Cricetulus griseus: one gene and its partners. The protein of the gene in region 4 binds, or shares a complex with, the protein of the main gene of each other region. Links are inferred from orthologs where the notes say so. Each region holds a gene or a part of one and is shown on either strand. Other genes may lie near its edges.

Evidence for each region.
Region 1: Cenpa (region 4) and Cenpc share a complex: the UniProt entries of both Homo sapiens proteins name them as parts of the CENPA-NAC complex. The link is inferred for Cricetulus griseus from reciprocal best matches to the Homo sapiens genes CENPA and CENPC.
Region 2: the proteins of Cenpa (region 4) and Hjurp are in contact, whole or in part, in a crystal structure (PDB 3R45), measured with the Homo sapiens proteins. The link is inferred for Cricetulus griseus from reciprocal best matches to the Homo sapiens genes CENPA and HJURP. Residues at the interface, in NP_001800.1 of Homo sapiens: Lys64, Leu65, Ser68, Arg69, Arg72, Asp83, Phe84, Asn85, Trp86, Gln87, Ala88, Gln89, Leu91, Leu92, Ala93, Glu96, Ala97, Ala100, Phe101, His104, Glu107, Asp108, Leu111, Leu112, Leu114, His115, Ile132, Glu136; in NP_060880.3 of Homo sapiens: Glu14, Asp15, Leu18, Lys21, Leu22, Ser25, Arg26, Arg28, Phe29, Arg32, Met33, Leu36, Lys39, Tyr40, Pro43, Phe44, Thr47, Pro48, Val49, Val50, Gln51, Met52, Ala53, Thr54, Leu55, Ile65, Trp66, Gly67.
Region 3: the proteins of Cenpa (region 4) and Ntmt1 are in contact, whole or in part, in a crystal structure (PDB 5CVD), measured with the Homo sapiens proteins. The link is inferred for Cricetulus griseus from reciprocal best matches to the Homo sapiens genes CENPA and NTMT1. Residues at the interface, in NP_001800.1 of Homo sapiens: Gly2, Pro3, Arg4, Arg5, Arg6, Ser7; in NP_001273725.1 of Homo sapiens: Tyr19, Trp20, Met30, Leu31, Gly32, Tyr34, Ile37, Trp136, Asn168, Ile175, Asp177, Asp180, Asp212, Glu213, Ile214, Tyr215.

The regions. Positions count from the first base shown.
Region 1 is NW_023276807.1:151,258,857-151,263,850, forward strand, and holds part of Cenpc (centromere protein C), read right to left. Parts: intron 762-4,994; coding exon 607-761; intron 1-606. UniProt on the Homo sapiens protein: Component of the CENPA-NAC (nucleosome-associated) complex, a complex that plays a central role in assembly of kinetochore proteins, mitotic progression and chromosome segregation.
Region 2 is NC_048595.1:439,835,906-439,841,497, forward strand, and holds the start of Hjurp (Holliday junction recognition protein), read right to left. Parts: upstream 3,521-5,592; 5' UTR 3,401-3,520; coding exon 3,305-3,400; intron 3,174-3,304; coding exon 3,107-3,173; intron 721-3,106; coding exon 665-720; intron 1-664. UniProt on the Homo sapiens protein: Centromeric protein that plays a central role in the incorporation and maintenance of histone H3-like variant CENPA at centromeres.
Region 3 is NC_048599.1:142,487,691-142,493,459, reverse strand, and holds the start of Ntmt1 (N-terminal Xaa-Pro-Lys N-methyltransferase 1), read right to left. Parts: upstream 3,624-5,769; 5' UTR 3,621-3,623; coding exon 3,600-3,620; coding exon of another isoform or gene 3,484-3,599; exon of another isoform or gene 3,429-3,483; intron 3,335-3,428; coding exon of another isoform or gene 2,947-3,334; exon of another isoform or gene 2,799-2,946; intron 2,657-2,798; exon of another isoform or gene 2,528-2,656; intron 1-2,527. Other genes in the region: CUNH9orf50 (uncharacterized protein C9orf50 homolog), read left to right, coding at 2,947-3,334, 3,484-3,604, 3,679-3,771. UniProt on the Homo sapiens protein: Distributive alpha-N-methyltransferase that methylates the N-terminus of target proteins containing the N-terminal motif [Ala/Gly/Pro/Ser]-Pro-Lys when the initiator Met is cleaved.
Region 4 is NC_048600.1:13,682,373-13,688,218, reverse strand, and holds the start of Cenpa (histone H3-like centromeric protein A), read left to right. Parts: upstream 1-2,589; 5' UTR 2,590-2,680; coding exon 2,681-2,765; intron 2,766-4,569; coding exon 4,570-4,661; intron 4,662-5,061; coding exon 5,062-5,139; intron 5,140-5,398; coding exon 5,399-5,533; 3' UTR 5,534-5,555; intron 5,556-5,846. UniProt on the Homo sapiens protein: Histone H3-like nucleosomal protein that is specifically found in centromeric nucleosomes. Replaces conventional H3 in the nucleosome core of centromeric chromatin that serves as an assembly site for the inner kinetochore.

The DNA of each region.
Region 1 (4,994 bases), on a different chromosome or scaffold from region 4:
ACCAGAGATAAGGAAAGTTATTACCACTCAAGAACATGCACAGCAGACATGTGTATACAGCAGATACTGAGACAAAGGGCTAGGAAGAAAGGAGGAAGGGAAGAAAGGAAGAAGGGAGAGAGGAAGGAAAAGAGTGAGACATACCAACTCATCATAAATCTCATTGTAACTTCAGACCCTGTCAAGTACAATAGCCTATTGGTACTGAATGGAGCAGCTAGCCCTTTGTCTGAAGGGCACTCTTAACTAGTTAAGTCATTTTTTAACTATTCTGATCCTCAACCATATGATTACAGAAGTTCACAAGACATAACCTCCATAATCTTCAGCTCTAAAATTCAATTTTATTAGCAAATCTATATTCTAAGATTCTCTTAAGAAACAATGACACCATAAACCACTGAACCTAAGGTTGTGCTATGCCCAGTACAGGTATTTTTAAATAATTACTGACTGGTTAACTGAAACACATTTAATAAAGGAAAAGATTTCTTTATGTAATAAACAATAAGATGTCACTACCAAGTAAATAGAATTTTAATGCATCATCTGAGAAAAAGAATCAGTTGTACTTCTAGAAAAGCAGAAATGGAGAAATATACTCACCAATATATCTTGGCCAACATGCTGCTTTCCTTTTTCTTCATAGGGTCCTAAAACCAATTTTCCAGTAGAAAAAAATGCTGTATCCAATGTTTTAAAAACTTTCAAACCATGTTGCTCCACGAAAAACTGGTATGTATCTCGTGGTCTTATAAGATCTAGGGGGAAAACAATAATACAAATATAAAGCAATCACAAGCTAAACATGTATACCAGCCTGTGACAGTCATCTCAGCACGTAGGGAACTAAGGAGGGTCACAAACTGGAAGTCCAGCTGGGTTACACATGGGAAACCCTACTGCAATAGTAGTGTTTAGTGAATAAGCATTTTTCTAAGAGCCATTTAGACCATACGTACATATAGGAAGTTCTATTACACAGGGTGAAGATGACTGACTCTGGAGCTGGGATGGTAAAGGTCCTATTCTGCCTGGCTCATAAATTACATGACTTTGGACTACTTAAGCTCTCTAAGCCTCCATTTCCTTTCTGTAAAAATGAGCCAACACCTATGTTCAAACAGCTTCTGTGAACATCAAAGGGTTAACATAAATCTATAGAGACAGCTGAACAAAGCTCTTGGAAACTCATGAACTCTAGACCTACAACTGTGGAGACTCCAGGGAACCGAACTAGGCCTTCCATATGTGGGAGACGGTTGTTAGCTTGGACTTTCTGAGGGGCCCCTGGCAGGAGGACCATGATACAAACCTGGTACATGAGCTAGCTTATTGGAGCCTATTCCTTAGGGTGAAATGTCATGCTCAGTGGCAGTAGGAGCATGATATAATCCCAATACATGAGCTAGCTTGTTGAAGCCCACTCCCTATGGTGGGATGCCATGCCTAGTCTTAATGCATGGGAGAGGGGGCCTGCCCCTAACCTTATTGTGCCAGACTATATTGACTCCTCATAGGAGCCTTTACCCATGAGGAAGAATGGACTGGGGGGGGGGGGTGGGAGAGTTGAGGGGAGATGGGAAAAAGTGAGGGGGTTGGAGGAGGGGTGGGAGGGAGAACTGTGGTAGAAATGTAAAAGGAAATCAAAAAGTAAAAAACATGTCACTGCTCAGCGTGCACCGGATCCAAATTTGGTGGTGGGATCCCATACAGCTAAGCCCCCGTGGCAATTCTGCCTCCATCCACTGGCCCAGATCAGAACTCGGTGGCGGAATCCGACACACCAGACCCTCCAGAGGCCCCAGTGGCAGTTCCAACTCCATCCACGAGAAAAGGACAGTCATAAGAGTATTGGATATCCCATCTACCAGAAGGGAACCTTAGCCCCATAACCACCAGGAGAGCAAGAGACTCCTGCTACACCCACGAGAAGAAAGGATGAGAAGAGGACAAGGTAAAAGCACATCCAACAACAGAAAACCCAATATGACACCACCGGAGACTAGGAATCATACACCAGCAAGACCTGAACATCACAATGCAGATGAAGCAAAAGAGAATGACCTTAAAAACATCTTCAGGAAAATGATAGAGAACCTCAAAGAGGACATGAGAAAAATCCCTTAAAGAAATGGAAGAAAAAACAAACCAAAAAATACAAGATATCAACAAATCTCTCAGACGACCAGAATCTAGGGACTCCACTCCAGCAAGATCTGAAAAGCCCAACACAGAGCATGAAGAAGAGATGGACCTCAAAAATTATCTCGGCAAGATGATAGAGACCTTTAAAGAGGAAACAAGAAAATCCCTTAAAGAAATAGAAGAAAAAGCAAACAAAAAATTATGCGAAATGGAGGAAAAGACAAACCAAAAAATTCAAGAAATAAACAAATCTCTTAAAGAATCTAAAGAAACCCAAGAAAAGACATCCAAACAAGTGAAGGAAGCTCTTGAAACAGTTCAAAGCATGAAAGCTAGATGCTGAAAAAGCCTTTGACAAAACCCAACATCCCTTCATGATAAAGATCTTGGAGAGAACAGGAATAACAGGAACATATCTAAACATGATAAACGCAATATACACCAAACCAATAGCCAACATCAAACTAAGTGGAGAGAAATTCAAAGCGTTTCCTCTAAAATCAGGAACAAGACAAGGCTGTCCACTCTCTCCATATCTCTTCAATATTGTACTTGAAGTTCTGGCTAGAGCAATAAGACAAGAAAAGAAGATCAAAGGAATACAAATTGGAAAGGATGAAGTCAAACTTTCACTATTTGCAGACATGATAGTCTACATTAGTGACCCGAAAAACTCTACCAGGGAACTCCTACGGCTGAAAAACACCTTCAGCAAGTTAGCAGGATACAAAATTAACTCAAAAAAATCAGTAGCCTTATTATATACAGATGATAAATCCAATGAGAAAGAAATCAGGGAAACATCACCTTTCACAATATCCAAAAGCCACATAAAATATCTTGGGGTAACACTAACCAAAAAAGTGAAAGACCTGTACAATAAGAACTTTGAGAATTTAAAGAAAGAAATTAAAGAAGATACCAGAAAATGGAAAGATCTCCCATGCTCTTGGATAGGTAGAATTAACATAGTAAAAATGGCAATCCTGCCAAAAGCAATCTACAGATTCAACACAATCCCCATCAAAATTCCAACAAAGTTTTTCACAGACATTGAAAGAACAATACTCAACTTTATATGGAAAAATAAAAAACCCAGGATAGCCAAAACAACTCTTTACAATAAAGGATCTTCTGGAGGTATCACCATCCCCGACTTCAAGCTCTACTATAGAGCCATAGTTCTGAAAACGGCTTGGTATTGGCACAAAAATAGACAGATAGACCAATGGAATCGAATTGAAAACCCTGATATTGACCCACGCACATACGAATGCCTTATTTTGACAAAGGTGCTAAATCTATACAATGGAAAAAAGATAGCATCTTCAACAAATGGTGCTGGTACAATTGGATTCGGACATGCAGAAAATTGCAGATAGATCCATACCTGTCACCATGCACAAAACTTAAGTGCAAATGGATCAAAGATCTCACCATAAATCCAGCCACTCTGAATCTTCTAGAAGAGAAATTAGGAATTACCCTTGAACAAATTGGCACAGGAGACCGCTTCCTGAACTTTACGCCAGTAGCACAGACATTGAGGTCTGCAATTAATAAATGGGACCTCCTGAAACTGAGAAGCTTCTGTAAGGCAAAGAAAACAGTCAGTAGGACAAAACAACCACCCACAAAATGGGAAAAGATCTTCACCGATCCCACATCTGACAGAGGACTGATTTCCAAAATATATAAGGAGCTCAAGAAGCTAGCCACCAAAACACCAAACAATGAAATTAAAAAGTGGGGTGCAGAACTAAATAGGGAATTCTCAACAGAGGAATCTGAAATGGCTGAAAGACACTTAAGAAAGTGCTCAAAATCATTGGCCATCAGAGAAATGCAACTCAGAACAACTCTGAGATACCACCTCACACCTGTCAGAATGGCTAAAATCAAAAACACCAATGACAATCTATGCAAGAGAGGATGTGGCGAAAAAGGAACACTCCTCCATTGCTGGCGGGAGTGCGAACTTGTAAGACCACTTTGGAAATCAGTATGGCAGTTGCTCAGAAAAATGGGAATCAGTCTACCTCAAGATCCAGCCATTCCTCTCTTGGGTATATACCCAAATAGTGCAGGTTCATACAACAAGGACATATATATGTTCACCCATGTTCATAGTAGCATTGTTTGTAATAGCCAGAACCTGGAAGCAACCTAGATGCCCCTAAACTGAAGAATGGATTGAGAAAATGTGGTACATTTATACAATGGAGTACTACTCAGCAGAAAAAAGCAATGGAATCTTGAAATTAGCAGGCAAATGATGGAACTAGAGGAAACCATCCTGAGTGAAGTAACCCAGTCACAAAAGACAAACATGGTATATACTCATTCATATATGAATTTTAGACATAGAGCAAAGGATTACCAGCCTATAATCCTCTTCACCAAAGAAACTAGGAAACATGAAGGACTCTAAGGGATAAATGGTCCCCAGGAATGGAAGTGGCATGAACTCCTGAACTAATTGGGAGCATGAGGGTAGGGGGGAGGGAGCTGCTACAATAAGAGCAAGAGAGGAGCAGTAGAGGAGAGGAAATGTAGGGGCAGAAATATTGAGTTGGGGGAAGAATAGAGGAGAGAGAGCAGGATGAGAGATACCATATCAGAGGGAGCCACTATAGGTCCGAGAAGAGATCTGGAACCAGGGAGATCTCCAGAGACCTACAAGGATGACACGATCTGACAATCCAGGCAATGGTGGAGAGGATAACCTAAAAGCCTTCCCCTAAAATGAGATTGATGACTTCTCTTTATGCCATCCTAGAGCCCTCATCCAGTGGCTGATGGACAAACATCCACAGATATACACTGAGCTGAAATGGGAATTTAGT
Region 2 (5,592 bases), on a different chromosome or scaffold from region 4:
TCAGCTAACCCAAGTGTTCTAGCCTTCCTATGGCTATAATAATCAACCAAGGAAGCTCAGTTTCAGAATTTCTATTAATGCTGTGTAACCTTAATCTTGATGTTCCATTGTGGGTAAAAGGTTTCCCCAGGAACCATGGTTGCCCGAGATTCATTTAGACCAGACAGTCTTATAGTCATTACCAGGGCAAAAAACCACACAGTCTCACAGCAGGAAGGCAAACTATTGATGCCATCCAGGAAACCAGTATTCAATCACTAGCTGTAGAGCCCTGGTGCAGGGAAACCCTGCAGAAGGGTGTGTGATTCTGCACTCTCGCCTCTTCATCCTTCTGCTTCCTGGTTTCAGAGGATGAAAGGGCCATTGTTTTTATCAAAAGAAATGAGATTTGGTCTTTTTTTGTAAGGCCCCAACAAAGGAGTCTCTAGCTGGTCTAGTACACAGTCTGCAGGTCCCCAATCTGGTCCAGCATCGGCACACATGAGACGGTTCTGAGGGCCCTGTGAACTACGATGGAGAAAATTTAGCACACAAGAGCCAGGCAACAGAAGAAATACCTGAGGTGGGTCTCTCGAAGCTCTCAGCAGTGGCCTCAGGGCTCACTCACACAGGGATTTAGTCAACACTACAGTAAAGCATTAAAGGTAAACTTGACGATAATTACCTGAGTTTGTTCCTTGCTTTTTTCCTTTATCAACTTTCCTCCCCAAACTCTCAATCCTTAAAAAAAAATGAAGATGACAATTGAAGGAATCCAAAATGCTCAGTTGCACTGACAGAAAACCAAGCTGGATGGCACAAAAGGCTGTACACTAAAAACAATCCAGGTTTTGGCAGTGTTGGACAAACCTATCATTAATGACAATTCTCTCCTACCCAGAAGGCAGCAGCTTACCTGATTTCAGCACTAACCTGAAGCGCTAAGGACAGTTCATATTCTAAATACATACTACATGCATATTGACTGGAGAGGGGGCACATATACCATACATTTACAGAGCAAGCATTCCCCACCCCCTCCCTGAGACAAGGGTTTCTGTCTAGCCTTAGCTGTTCTGAAACTCACTCTGTAGACAAGGCTGGCCTTGAACTCAAAAAGATAAATCTGCCTCTGCCTTCCCCAGTGCTGGGATTAAAGGCGTGCACCACCACTGCCTGGCTTAGAACAAGGGTTTTTACAGGGCATTTTTTGTACCCCATCCTTGGCTTTCCTAGGGCAATCTACTGGCCTAATACAGAGAAGCCTGCATACAGAGAACTCTGGAGTTCAAGTGCACCGTCCCTGTCACTCACTAGCTAGCAGAACCTGTGCAATATACTCCTTCTAAAGTTACTAAGAAAGAATGGTGGGTTTTGAGGTATGAGATGACTGTATTATAACAGAAGCATAAAAAAATTTACACAGCACTCTCTATGCTCCAGATTTTTACCAAGGAGACACCATTTAGTACCCACAACCCATCTGCATGTAACTCCTACACCCACCCAGAAGCCCACGGGGAACAGAGACTTAGCATGTTTGCTGTGGACAGACACGCAAAGGAAAAGGAAGTTCAGACGACTAGCCCAGGCTCTCCACTCATGTAGAGGAGCCAGCACGTGACTTCTGGGAGGTGCTGACTGCACTTGATCACTGTACAACACAGTCTTTCCAGAAGACAGCGATGCTTGAGTATATGGGTTCATGAGTCAAACTGAGGCTTTGCTGCCCTGGCTGAGTGGCCCTCTCTGTGGGAATCTACCTTTGACAGCAATGGTTTTTAAAAGGGGCTTCTACTGCAGGGTTGAAACTGGACTTCACAACTTCACAAGTGCAGGCACAGGTGAACCATCAACACAGGCAAATGAATCTATTCCTGCTGCTGCTGCTGCCACAATCACTGTCTTTGATGGGGGTTCATGCTATTGCACAGGGAGGGTCAGGAGCATCTTTGGAAAGGCCATGCCAAAGACTCTCTCAGATTAAGTAATGGGACGTTGGGACTCATGGCATGAATACAAGCTACGAGCTTGCTAGGATGCAGAGTTATTAACAATTGCAGCCCTAGGAGTCCATGTGCTGGCCAGTTCTCAGGGAGGGCCCTTTATATGCCAACACGGGATGGTCTCAAACTCTTCAGATACTTCACTGTTGTTCTCATATAACTGACATCAGGTTTTCATGGACAAAATGAGTGTTATTCAAGATAGATAGACTGTCCAAAACATTCCAGACGCTGCCCACCCCTGCATGAACAGTCACAAGAACACAGAGAAGCCTACAGACAGACAGCACCCTCAAAGACCCCTGTATTACTGTATCCAGATCCCACCCAGAGCAAAAAAACAACCTGCTGCAGTATTATTTCTGTTTCTGTGTAAAACTTTCACTGAACATGTGCCTTGAACAGTCAAAAAGACAAAGGGCAAAGACTGCACTTGTCAAAGAGTGGGTTCTATAGACTCTTGGCAGACTGTGATGTGAAATCAGATTTTATTACTAAATGATGAGTCTTATGGAAGGAACTAACCTCATCAAATGCAAACACACCCCAGTTAAAGAATCCAAGCAAGAGGTGCCAGGCGTTGGCGGCACACGCCTTTAATCCCAGCACTCGGGAGACAGAGGCAGGCGCATCTCTGTGAGTTCGAGGCCAGCCTGGTCTCCAGAGCGAGTGCCAGGATAGGCTCCAACGCTACACAGAGAAACCCTGTCTCGAAAAAACAAAACAAAACAAAACAAAGGTTTAAGGCAGTCCACAACATTTAATAAAATGGCTCCGGAGAGGCAGACTGATGGACTGTCTACAACAGATGGGTCCGAGTTACACAGCACAACTCGTGAGAGCCGAGCAGTTCCAATGGCTTTGCAGGCACTCCGGTACCCATGGTTGTCAACGTCCTTTTTACTTTACGGAGACACTGTGCTGCCTTTAAGCAATTAGCTCGGGCTTCCGCGCCGGGCGTTTAAAAACTCAGGCTGCATCTGTGTCTCCGGGCATTGCTTTTAGAGAAATGACTTGGAACTCAGCAACTCACGGTTGCAAAGTGAGGGGAACAAGTGCCGCGTTGCAAATTCTAGACCCCACCATTCTAGCACACTGCCAAGAGGAGGAAGGTTCCGTACCCTGGGGCGTCTCGTAGGTCAGCGTGGACATCTGCACCAAAGGGTCGTCCTCAAAGGGCTGGTTGTACTGCGGGGAAAGAGAGCTGCTGATCAGATCCTCGGCGCTGGATCCCCGCCCGCCCGCCCGCTGCCGCTGCCGCTGCCCGCTGCCCGCGCCCGCTGCCCGCTGCCCGCCTCGGCCAGCCCAGCCCAGCCCACCTTCGCTATCAGCCGATGCATGAACGTCTGGAAACGGTTCCGGCTTTCCTGGAGATGCCGCAGCAGCCTGTTATCCGGCTGGTCTTTAGGATCCATGGCGCAGGCCGCTCACAGCCTGGAATCCGCACAGTCCAAGCCGGCGCACAGATCAAACGGGCCGCCCGTCGCGCTGATAGGGCCTTTCAAACGTATTTACGCAACCGATCCTGCCTGTGCTTCCGGTCGCCTCTCCCAGGGAGCGCTTCCGGCGGAAACGAAGGAGGGAGGGCAGCCGGAGAGGGTGGAACATGCGCATTGCGTCCCCATGAGGCACTCCCGCGCCCTCTAGAGGCGCCTGGACGAATTGCCTGCGTGTCCCCGCGGGGTCCCGGAGGCGGTCCCTGTCCCCATCCTTTTGGGTCGCCAGCTTGGAAGGGCTGAGAGAAAGACAGCGCCAAATAACTGTCCCGAAAGGAGTCAGGAAAGCCAGGGTTCATAAATTCCAACAAAAGGCACGTTTAAAGGTGCTGACAGATACTATGAATGTGACAAAATCTATGGTTTTTATCCTAGGGTTTTGATCAACTCCCTTTCCAATTTCTGATTATATACTGTTTCTTGAGAGGACTGGTAATTAGGTGTCCATTTTATGAGGGCATTTACTTTGGTTGACATTTTAGAAATGTTTCACATAAGTTTTTTTGGATTTTGTCTTCTTGTGGGGTTGGGGGATTGAACCCTAGTTTAGGATGGTTTTACTCTGTCTTCATAACAGTTGCATTTGTGTGCTTGTGTTGGTGTGAGTATCTCAAAGTGGGTGATAACGGAATCATTACTGAGGACCTGCACCATAATCTTCCCACGCTGTCCTGTTGAAGCTGCAGAGGGAAGAGGCTCTGGCAGGCGCATGGGCTGTGGATGTCCGCACAATGTATTTGCTGCAGGCACAGAGAGAGGCTATCAAGTCGCTTTCAAGATGCTTAGCTTAGGGCCCTCAGTTGTCTGACTCTCTTGGCGTTGTTTACTGATGGGGGCTGCACCATCCAAACTGCCAGCGTGACCCTGGCCCATGGGGGGATGCGAAGGCTGTGCTGTTTGAGTGCAAAGGGGGTCAACCAGACACAGCATTCGGCCCCCCAGTGCCTCCGTGTCTTCCCCGTCGCCGTGAGCTGAATTTCTCTGAACTGAAAGCTAATATAAATCTTTCCTTCCTTAACTTGCTGTTTTTGCTAGGTATTTATCACAGATAATTTTGAGGAAAATCAAGTAAAGAAATTACATAAATGAAACAGAACAGATACTTTTGTCCTAAATGTTTTTATATTAGTGAAGATATATACAATTCAAGGATCTGCTATATTTTATTAATAAAAATAGTTTTAAAATATTTGATGCTATTTACAAGCCATATTTTGCTAATTATTGAAGGAGTTTTCAAATATAGTGATGTGAAATCTGGTCGTGAAGGTTAAATATTAAGTATATACAGGCATACATGCTGGCAGAACACTGTATACATAATAAATAAATCTTTAAAAAAACATGTTTGTGCTTTGATGTCATGAAGCCACATTTTGAAATCTAAGCAATTAAAAATGTTGACAGGGGTTTAGCCTAGGGATATTTATGAAGCACTAACCACATGTTCAATACTCTGAGGGTGCTGGGTAACTTAGTTGCATACCATCTATGTTCCATTAAGTTTTTGTTCTGTTTTGGTTTATTTGTTTGTTTGTTTTTGTTTTTTTTTCGAGACAGGACCAGGCTGGCCTCGAACTCACAGAGATTCGCCTGCCTCTGCCTCCCAAGTGCTGGGATTAAAGGCGTGTGCCACCAACGCCTGGCCTGTTCCATTAAGTTTTAATGGTATCTAAAGTGAATATGGCATTTAAGTCTTAACCGTAAGTTCTAAACATATACATTATATGCCTGTACTTTTCAAATGTCTGGATGGGTCTGGAGAGATGGCTCAGCAGTTAAGACTGTGTGCACCTCTTGCAGAGGAACCACGTTCAGTTCCTGGTGCCTTTGTCAGGCTGCTCACAAACACCAGTAACTCCAGTTCCAGAGGATTTTCTGACCCCAACATGTACCCACACTCATGTGTAGATGCCTGCCTACACATAATTAAATATAATAAATCTTTGAAAAATGTGTATGTTTTCACAACTTGAGTGTGCATTTAGGAAAATCTCCATGATATATTCAGACCAATGATGGCATAATAGAATATTTTTTTGTTACAAACTGTTTGGCTTATTGAATATTTTTAATATTAGCTTTCTCTGGCCACATTTTCCAGAATGGGT
Region 3 (5,769 bases), on a different chromosome or scaffold from region 4:
CCCACCCACGATGGAGTCCCACCCTAAATCTGTGTACATATCATTTGATATCTGCTCTGAAGTGTTGTAGGTCATATCTGGTCTCAATAGTTTAAAGAGCTTGTCATCAGCATGCAGTGATGAGTGCCTGTAATCCTAGCCTTTGGGAATCAGAGCCAGAATGCCGGGGTCAAAGGTCATCTCAGCAGTAAATTCAATACCAGCCTATACTGCCTGAGACCTCCTCTCAGAAACAAAAACAAAAGCCAGGGCATGGAGAGATGATGGCTTGTGGCTCAGAGTTAAGAGTACCTGCTGTAGGTAGGGTGGCAGCACAGCCTTTAATCCCAGCACTCCAAGGACTCAAACACAAATGCAATCTTGTGTGTGTATGCATTCATGGGGCAGAGGCAGGTACATCTCTGTGAGTTCAAGGCAAACCTGGTCTATATAGTGAGTTCCAGGACATCAACAGCTACATAGTGAAAGCATGTTTCAAAATTAATAATAATAATAATATGCAGGTTTGGGGGCTGCTCATAAAAGCAGATACAAGCACATACTGCTCTTGCAGAAGATCTGACTTCAGTCCTCAGAACAAACACTGTAACTCCAGCTCCAGAGGAGTCAGCGCTCACTTGTGGCTTCCAAGTGCACATGCCCACACACAGATACACACCTATACTCATAGTTTTAAGTAATTATACAATAATGACATAACTCAGTTGGTAAAGTGATCGCCTAGCATGCACCACATGAAACCAGTTGCAGCAGTGCATGCCTGCAATCCCAGTACTTAGGAGGGGGAGGTATCCTTCACTTGGTAGAAGGATCAGGAGTTCAAGGTCATCCTTGACTAGTGAGTTTGAGAGCTAAGGAAACCCCGTCTTAGAAAAAAAACAAAAAAGAAATTAGTTTATGTCTCCCACTCAATATTCTAACTTCCTGAGGAAATATGTGCCTCTATCCCTCTGAAGAAAGTCGCAGAAAATCTTTCATGACGCCTCCTGTGGGCATGTGAGTGATACTCACTTTTTTTAAACCATAAAATTGTACCATACCTGCATATACTTGTCTCCACTGTACCCTCAACCCCCAACCTGAGTTCTACACTCTCATGGGCTTCCTCCAGGTCTCTCCCAACTACAACTCACGGGCTCATCCATCTACCTATCCTATTGACTCATGGAACTCCCAGAATTAAAAACCCATTAGCATCATATAGCCAAGAGAAGCAGAAAATGAACTTAACCTTGCTTTGTGGGTTTCTAGGCCCACTGTGTTCTTCCTGTCCTATGAGGGTGAGACTGACAGGAAGAAGTCCTGTCCTTCCCACTCAGCCAAGTATAGCCACTCTGGGTCTGGAAAAGTAGCTGAAACTGGCCTATTCCTCTCTGGATTAAGCATGGCTGCCCTGGCCAGGAGTACCAAGGCCTCTGTGGGTATGGGTGTGGCTGTGGCTGTGGCTGTGGCATCCAGGGCACACAAGCTCCACCTCTGTCCCCAGGCCACATTGCCCATTGCTCTCCAGTAGCTATGGGTGAAAGTGGAGCCAGATCACAATCACTCCAAGAAGACTTGCAGGCACCTGGGAGGGGCCACCAGAGGCAGCAGGTGGAAAGATGGGCTCTCCCAGCAAATAGCCCACCTGTTGGGGGGCTCTAAACTCACAGGACCTTCCAGGGCCTCACCCAGCATACCCTACAAGGTGAGTGAGATGTCTCCCAGAAATCAGTTTAGAGCTGATGATGACAATCTGAGAATAGGGTATGCTTGGGGAAGAAGCAGTCCTGGAGACTGCAGCCCCCCACTGCCAACCACCAATATCAGAGATGAAGGGGGACTGAGGCTTTCCTCCCTAATTGGGAGTTTGATCAAAATGTGTCTTGACTTTGGATGTGGCTTGATGGTGGAGCACTTGTCTCTGTCTCATCCCCAACAGTGTGGGGGGGGGCAGTAAAACTGGTCTTGGCTTCTCCCGAGACCCCCTGTCAGAATCTAGGCTAGGAGGTGGGAGAAAGCCATGTGTATTTGCAGCTTGCTCTGATTCTGAGAGCAGGCTGCCCGATTCCCATTGAAGTCTACAGCCAGTAGGAGATCAGCCCTCCCATGCCTCCTTCCTCTGTGGCCTTCAGTCAGGTATGAGCAGCAGGTGGTAGTCCACATTTGTAATCCCAGAATTTGGAAAACAGAGGCAGAGGGTCAATGGAGTCTAGGCCAGCTTGTGCCATTTAGGGGGACCCTTCCTCAAAATGAACAGAGAGGCAGGGTTTCTCTGTAACAGTTCTGGCTGTCCTGGAACTCACTCTGTAGATTAGGTTGGCCTTGAACTCAGAGATACACCTGCTTCTGCTTCAAAGTGCTGGGATTAAAGGTGTGCACCACTACATCTGGCAATAGCCTTAAATTTAAGAAAAATTTAAATGTATGTATATGCGTGTTTTGCCTACATAGTTGTGCACCACATGTGTGCCTGGTGCCCTCAGAGACTAGAAGAGGGTGATAGATCCCCCCCCCCCCGGGACTAGAGGTTGAGAGCTGTACTCACTGCTGGGGCAGGATTTGGGAATCGAACCCGGGCCCTCTCACTGATCCATCTCTCCAGCCTCTACCTCCCAAATTCTGGGACCACAAGCATGGGCTGTCACGCTCAGTTTTTCAAGCATTCTAGTCAAGCCCTCTCCCAACTATGCTAAATAAGAAAGGCAGCAGGTGCCCACGCCCTGCACTGTGCCAGTTGCCCGGCATGTACTAGCTCACATCAACGTCACAGCCGCCCCCAAAGGGCTGGCCTCGCCTTCGCAGTCTTTGAGCGCAGACACAGCAGGGGAGGGTACTGCCGGAGCCGGGTCGCTGCCCCTACCAGGCGCTATGGCCTGCGGGCTGGTGCGCGACCTCCCCGCGGTCCCCCTTGCCCCCGCGCGTCCCCCAGGCGCGAAGATGTCCTGAGCTGAGCTCGGACTCACGATGTACCGGCGCCAGCCCGCAGCGGGGACCCCGGTCTACGTGCCCAAGGGGTGGACCGACCGGGCCGCCTCACGCCGCTCCACTCCGCTGCTTCCTCGGCTGTTCACGTCCGACTCCCGTACGCGAGGCTCAGCCGGCGCGTGGTGGCAGAACAGCGATCGCCTGCCCTACCTGTCCCCCGGGGTCCCGTATGGGCCGCGGAGCCGCGGGACCTTGAGAACGCTGGTGCTGCCGCCGCTACCGTACAGCACGGCCCGGGGGGCGGGGGCCCGGGGGACACGGCAGCCGGCTGTATCCGTGGGCACACTTCTGGGGCAATTTCTGCCCACCAAATTCCGCGACTTCCTGCACCATCTGCGCACCAAGTACACAGAGCCCCAGGCGCACCGTGAGGCCATGGGAACTGGGGTGGGGTGGCATAAGGTGTGGGGCTAGGGTCCCGGGCTAGGGTCCCTCCCCAGTGAGGACCATCCCCAGCTCACTGGGTTTCCTCCTCTTCTTCCTTCTCCCTTTCTTCCTTCTCTTCTCTCCTTCCAGCACCCTCAGCGCCACAGTACCCCAAGGGTGCGTCAGAGCACTACCCAGGTTTGCGCAATCCCAGTTGCTCATTCTACCCAGGTTTGCGCAATCCCAGTTGCTCATTCCTCCCAGACCTGTGGTAAGTGGAGACACATTCTTGGTGAAGGAGGGGTTGCCCTGGTTGCTGCTGGAGTGGTGCTCTTTGTCTTCAAGGGACCAACCGTCGCACTCGGAAGACAGTTTTAAAAAGAAGCCTACCGCGGGGCTCCCAAGAGGCGAATTCATCACAGCCAGAAAGGCCAACGCGTGAGTAGTAGAAGTTGTGAGGACACACGTGCTATAGCTTTGTGGAGTTGGCTCTCTCCTCCCACCTTCACGTGGGTTGTGTGTGTGTGTGTGGTGAAACAAAGGCCACTAGGCTTACCTGTCATCACCTTTACCCATTAAGCCATCTCATCTCCCCAACCCATGAGTTATGGGAGCGGGAAGGCATTCCTTTGCTCCCTCATTTCCAGTCATTCATTGGTGGATTTACCATCCATCGACCTATTCATCCTTGCATGTGCCTTAGGCATGAACTACGAGCTATTGTAAATCTCTCACACATCTATCCATCAGGGCATCTATTGGCCATGAACCTTTAACTGCCCCCGACAGCCAGTTTTCTATCTATCCACAATTTCCCCCTGGTTATAGCTGCCCAGCAACTATACTTTCTTTCACTTATAAACCCAGGGCACCAATCACCAGAGTAATAAGGCCACCCATAAGGTTCCATCCACATCTGTCTGTATAACCATACAGCTACCCACCCTGAGATTCAGCCCTTCAGTTCAGATCCTGTTATAAATCCACCCATCGCTGCATCCTTCTCTCATGTTCTATCATTACCCACTTACGAAGTTTACTCTGTATCAAATACGAACTAAAAGGCAATGGGATGGAAGCAAGAAAGATCCTGGGGCACTTATGATGCTTACCTGAACCCGAATGCTAGAGAGCTCTTAATAGAGGGGGGAAAGAAACAGCAGGTTTAATAGGCTAGAGCAAGGGTGAAGAGCACTGTCTGGGAGTTTAAAGACTAGAGAGCTGGGAGTGGTGATGTACTAACAAACAAACAAAACAAGAAACAAACAAAAAAAACTATGTTTTTTTTAGATATGAGTGTTCTGTCTGCATGTGTGCCTGCAGGCCAGAAGAGGGCATCAGATCCCATTGTAGATGGTTGTGAGCTACCGTGTGGTTGCTGGGAATTGACCTCAGGACCTCTGGAAGAGCAGCCAGTGATCTTAACCTCTGAACCATCTCTCTAGCCCCAGTGGTGCACATTTTTAGTCTTGGCATTCAGGAGGCAGAGGCAGGCAACTCTGTGAATTGGAGGATAGCCTGGTCTACATAGTGAGTTCCAGGACAGCCAAGGATCATGCAGTGAGACACCGTCTCAATAAATTAATTTAGGGAAGGATGGATAGATGGACCAGAGAACATGCATACACAGCAAGCATACTATTACTGTCCCATCTGTACTGATGCCAGACAATACTAATCCATTACTGCACATTTCTGTGTGAGCCTCAGAACCCTTCCTGACATAGTTCTTGACTAGGAGGATGGAGAGATGCCTCACCCAGGTTCAATTCCCAGCACCTACATGGAAGCTCACAACTGTAACTCTAGATCTAGAGGATCCAACACCTCACACAGACATAGATGCAGGAAAAACACTAATGCACATAAAATAAAAATAAGTAAATCGTTACAAAAAAGTTTAGACTAGAGTTGGACACTTATTGATATGTAACATTCCCTCAGTACATTCCTTTGGCTCCAGTGGTCTGCCCTAGGCAGGAAAGCCATGATCTTGTACCGGCAGGCAGAGCTGGGAGCTGCCTAAGCCTGGCCCTGTGGCCAGGACAAAGCTGAGGTTTGTATGCACACAACTGTGGCCTAACTGAGCTCCAATACCTATACCCAGGTTCTGCCCTAGTCACCCCAGCTGTGTGGCTTTTTGATGGACAGATAAGAAACACATCCTCTTCGTCTACAAGGAGATGGCACAGGAAAACTGGTGCAGATGTGTACATATGTGTGCCCAAGGTGAAATGCAATGGGTCATTTCCGAGTGACCAAGTAACCAGGCTTGCAGTCTAGGCCCTGAGGGAGAAATGAACTATTTTTAACCATTACACATAAATATAGCATGCCCTTTATGGTACACAACCCCATGACAGGCCCTATTCTAGGTGCTTCCCCACTCTCCCAGTTCCTGTGATGGCGGAATGATCCCGCTTAAAACACAGCACA
Region 4 (5,846 bases):
TATGTGCCTTAAGTCTTGGCTGAAGGAGTCTGTCTCAGACATTATGGCACAACCAACTAATTTCCCCCTTTCTCCTACGCTGAACTCCCCAAGAGTTCTGAGAGTTCCTATGATCTATAATTTACTACTTTTGTTCCATTCAACTGGTCTAGAGCTCAAAGATGACTAGTGTTCACCTTGACATCTTCAGCCTACTTTGCTTCCATTTAGTTTATTCAAAAAAAAAAATCAGGGTCTGGAGAGATGGCTCAGTAGATAAACATACATGGTATCTCACAGTTTATAATGGGGTCTGATGCCATGTTCTGGAGTAGACAGAGCACTCATATACATAAAGCACAGAAATAAATCTTTAAAAAACCATCGGTAGTTCAATTGGTTCAAAAACCAAAATATATAAAAAATGTATACATTAATAAACACCCCTCCTTCTACCTTAAGCCACTCACTGCTGCTTCAGAGACTGTTAGTTTCATCAATTTCTTAGGAATCTAGATTCTGTCTTCCACCAGCTTTCTACTTCTAGCTTAATAAAGGGCTATCTGTCTAAAGCAGAGTTCATAAGTGAAATTTTCTCTGTCTAATTAACAGTTGCTAAGGATGCGGATTTCTTCAGTCCATGTTGAACTAGATAACTGGAGGTGGAAGGTGGGATCATCTTTCTGTGATTTGACCATACCTTAAAAACTTAGAACCCTCCTTTTCTCTTTTTTATAGTAAATATAAAATTTTGATGGCATTAAGAGCATACATGTGATACAACCACAACTGTCATCAGTCTATAAGGCTGCTTTCACTTCCCAATTGGAAACTCTGTCCCCACTCAACAATAACCCCATTATCCACCCTCCCAGCTCCTGGAAACCACCATTCTACTTTCTCTCAATGAATTCAACCACTCTCATACCTACCTCATGTCAGTGGAATCATAGACCAGTGATCTTTTTGTGACTAGCTTATGTCACTTAGCATAGTGATTTCAAGGTTCATCCATGCAGCTTATGTCAGAAATTCTTCCCTTTTTAAAGGTGAATAACACCATTGTATATTCATTTTCTCTATTCATTTGCTGATGGACACTCAGGTACTTTCCACTGATTGGTCATTGTGAGTAAAACTGCTATGAATGAATGAATATATATATATATATGTATGTATGTATGTATGTATGTATGTATGTATTCCTACTTCTGGTTCCTTTAGATATATAACATGGACCTCTAAGTCATATAGTAATTCTTTGTTTTGTTTTTTGTTTGTTTGTTTGTTTGTTTGTTTGTTTTTCAAGACAGGGTTTCTCTGTGGCTTTGGAGTCTGTCCTGGAACTAGCTCTAGTAGACCAGGCTGGTCTCAAATTCACAGACATCCGCCTGTCTCTGCCTCCTGAGTGCTGGGACTAAAGGTGTATGCCACCACCGCCCAGCATCATATAGTAATTCTATGTTTAAATTATGTGTTTGTAGGTAGCATACTGAGGATTGAACACAGAACCTTGTATATGAGGCAAGTGCTTTAACATGAGCTATGTCAGCCTTTGTTTGTTTGGTTTTTTGTTTGTTTGAGACAAATTTTACTACATAGGATGACTAGCCTAGAACTCACTAAGCTAGGCTGCCCTGAACTTAGAGCAAACCTCTTGCCTCTACCTCCCAAATGCTGGAATTAAGATCCACAGATGAAGTCAGGGCACCTATGGCCCCATCTCCCAAAGCCCCCACCCCTGAGCACTGCTGCACTTGGGACCAAGCTTCTGTAGGACATTTCAGGTTCCAGCCATGACACATTTCCATAGCAGCTGCACCATTTTACACCACCCACCCCAGTGTTGCAGAAGGGTTCTGTGAAACCACTGATTATATAAGGAGATTCTTGATTAGAGTACACGTTCATGGTAGAGCATTTAGAAAACTCAAAAAAGCAAAATGACGAAATTGAAATCCTCTTTATTCTAATTGCAGAGATATGACCCGAATTCATATTACTCCCAGGAGAAAGGGAAAAGCTGTTTTTTTTTTTTTTCTCTGACAGTTCTGTCATGGTGTTCAATAGTATAGTCCAGGAACAGTGCTGGCTCGTGCCCTGCCTGGACCTTGTCCTCAGATCCCATCGTCCTGGCTGTCCCCTCGACCCTAGAAAAGTTCACGGTGTTAACCTGGCCTCTGAATCCTATTTGCTGGTTGCTCTCGGGAGGGTCCCTCCCGGGAGCTGTGTGGAGTGTCACATTTTTGGGCGGTCTGTTTCTCCATTCTCAAAGCCACACCAACGTTGATACGAAAGCGTAAAACGTTTGAGGGAATGAATTCTAAAAACTCACCACCTACATCAGACTGAGTTGTCCTTTTGCCCAGAGGGCACCAGAGCAAGCTAGTCGGGTCAGTCAAAGATCAACACGCAAAATGTGAGAAAGCCCCGCCTTCCTTAGCTTCTCCAAGTGCCCATTGGCTGACTCTGCGGCCAGACCCTCATTCTCACTGGTCCTTGTGGCTGTCGCTCCACGGTGGCGTTCCAGAGCCAGCCACTGAGAGTCACGGAATTGGGGATTTAAAAAATGCGGTAGGCGGGGTGGGTTTTTTTCAAACTGATGGCGGCCGAGCTCCTGCGGCTCTGACACGCTCAGTCACCTCGCTCTCTCGTCGGGCTTAGCGGAGGCGGCGGAGCTTGGACCCACTCGCGGCCAACCATGGGCCCGCGCCGCAAGCCGAGGACCCCGAGAAGGCGCCCCTCCAGCCCGGTCCCCGGACCCTCGCGACGCAGCTCCCGTCCAGGTAAGCGGGCCTGCCGGAACCTCAGCTCTGAGGGTGCTGGGGACGGCCGGCTTGAAGAGGGTTCCGAACCCGGGAAACCACAGGCCTAAGGGTAAGGGTGCTGAGAACACAGCTCAGGCCTTCTGGAAGAGCGACAAGCGCTGTTTAACTGTTGAGCAAGCTTTCCAAGCCCAACATTTTATTATTTTACTAGCATACTTGGTCTCCCCAGCCTAGTTCAAATCACTGGCGTTTCTTCTGTCCTCCCTTGACTCACAGTTGAGAGTTCTGTCCACGGCCATTTGGGCTGGAGGCATGGGGCAGACGTGATGCTGGGGGAAGCTGAGAGTTCTGGATCTGGATCTGGAGGCAGCAGGAAGTAATGATGACACACTGGAGCTTCTGAGACCTCAAAGCCCACCCCTAGTGGCATGCCTCGTCCAACAACGCCACATGTCCAACTAGTGCCACTCCCTATGGGCCTGTGGGGCCATTTTTTCAGACCAGCACATTATTATTTACATGTGTTCATGTTTGCCTGCATTTGTGTGTTTATGTGTGTGTACACGTGTGCACGCACACCAAACCTAGAACCTCTGCAAGAACAACAAATACTCTTAACCAATGAGCCATCTCTCCAGCTCCAATTTTTATTTCTAATCATATGTATATGCACCGTAGTACAGGTGCCCAAGTCATTAGTGCCCCCTGGACCTAAAGTATAGGCAGTATGAGCCACCTGATGTAGGCGCTAGGAGCCAAACTTGACTCCTCCTTAACAATGATACACACTCTGACCACTGAACCATCTCTAGCTAGGCCTTAATTCATTTGGCATTCTTGTTTTCTACTAGATATGTTTGCCTCTGGTGCTTTTAGTTGTTTTATGTTTTGTTTTGTTTTGAAGGCGGGTTTCTCTGTGTAGCCCTGGCTGTCCAGGAACTCACTCTGGAGACCAGGCTGGCCTCGAACTCACAGAGATCCTCCTGTCTCTGCCTCCCGAGTGCTGGGACTAAAGGCGTGCGCCACCACCACCTGGCTCTTTTAGGTTTTTAAAAGTAAATTTTTATATTATTCATCTTAAATAGTCTAATATCAGTTAAGTTTCCTCTTCAACATTAGGGTTAGATGTATTTTTTCTTTGTGTTTCAGGGGTTTGAACCTGTGGCTTTGTGCATGTTGATCAAGCACTTTACTGCAGAGCTGCATCTCTAGAGCAGAGGGTTTTTTTTAAGTTTGGTATTTTTATTTTCTAGTGAGAATTTGAATTTTTACCAAAGGCTGTGGCTTCACAGCCCGCATTCCTAGCATTAGCACTGAATTATGCCACTTCTAAGGTCCCAACTTGGCCTCTAATGAGCACTAGCCAACTATCTTTACTTCCCTGGGCCCAAGACAAGCAAGATAAGAGATCCGTACTAGGTAGTATCTCATTCCCTCCAGCTGTTACAAAGAAAGAAAGGACCTAAAAACTGAATAACGAACTTGGAACATCTAGGTGGGAATGGGAAAGATATGAAATGCATGGGACCCAACAGGAAGGATCTGTTAGGAAGGAACTGGGATTTGAGAAAGGCTTCATGGAGTTAACACTCCAACCCAAAGGCCCAGACTGCACTCACTCTCTTAGTAAGCCTGTGGTGAGCACCTGTGTGTCTTTTCACACTCAGTGTGTGGCAAGCACTCGTGTGCTCTTGCTGACTCCACCAACTAGAAAAAAGAGAATCCCTGCTCTGTGGAGTATAGTGGCAAGGTTTGTCTTCAGCTGGGCCACAAGGTACCACTTATTTCCACAGCACTTCCCTTATGACCTAACTCTCCTCAGGTAAGAGGCGGAAATTTCTGTGGCTTAAGGAGATAAAGAAACTGCAGAGGAGCACCGACCTCCTGCTAAGGAAGCTTCCTTTCAGCCGAGTTGTGAGTTCTGGGGACACCCTCACTCTGCCTTGGACCACCTTTGCTTTAAGCCTCCCACATATGGGAGATTTCTGCTTCTTGCTGATGTGGATAAAGGTTGCTTCTAACCCTCTGGGGCGCTGCACATCCTCGGTTTTTCTGTTGCTGATTTCTCATTACTGTAGTAGAGCCCTCTCACCCAGTTTCCCTCCATACCCTGGAGATTGCCTTTTCTTCTCTCCACCCATAAGCTATGCCAGTTAAAGCTCCCAGGAGTCCGCACCTACCCTGAGCCAGGCCCTTAGATCAAGGGCAGCACATAATGGTGGAAGTGAGGATGCTTAGAGATACTTGGAGAAAGACCATCTACTCTTTGATCACTCTGCTATTCTCAGCTCATCCCCACCCTGCTCCTCCACAGGTAAGAGAAATATGTGGGAAATTCACTCGAGGTGTGGACCTATGTTGGCAAGCCCAAGCCTTGTTGGCCCTTCAAGAGGTAAGAAGGAGTAGGTATTGGTAAAGGCTAAAAGGGGGAAGAGCATCCCAGAATTCCACAGGACGGCATAAGGGGTGGGTACCACAGACTGTTCCTGGCCTCCTGAAAAGAGTAGCCAATGGGCAATACCTGACAATTTGGGAGGGTCTGATGGGTGGCCATTGGGTTCACCCCATTCTTTACTTCAGTCCTTTGAGTCAGTATGTCTCCAAGAAAAAACAGTCCAGGTCCTTCATCCATGTCAGTCTTTGTGTCCCAGGCAGCAGAAGCATTTCTAGTTCACCTCTTTGAGGATGCCTATCTCCTCACCTTACATGCCGGCAGAGTCACTATCTTCCCCAAGGACATACAGCTCACCAGGAGGATCCGAGGCATTGAGGGAGGACTTGGCTGAGCTGGCAGTGTGCTGTGTGTCCGTAAGTCTTTCCTGCTCGAAGTGAGTGCTGCTTGTTGCTGGGAGTGGATATTGGTCTGAAGGGGAGAGTGTCATGCATCCTTGGTCCCTTGCCAACACACCTATTTGTTCCCTAATTAAGGTCTGGCCTTTCCCAACTGCTTGGGAGGCATGTGTCATGGTTCGTGTCTTTTTGTACAATGTTAAAATAAAAGCTGGATGTAGTGAGTGGTTCATGCTTGTAACCCCAGTACTTGGGAAGCCAAAGCAGGAGGATAAGGATTTCAAGAACATGTGAGCATCTCACTCACTC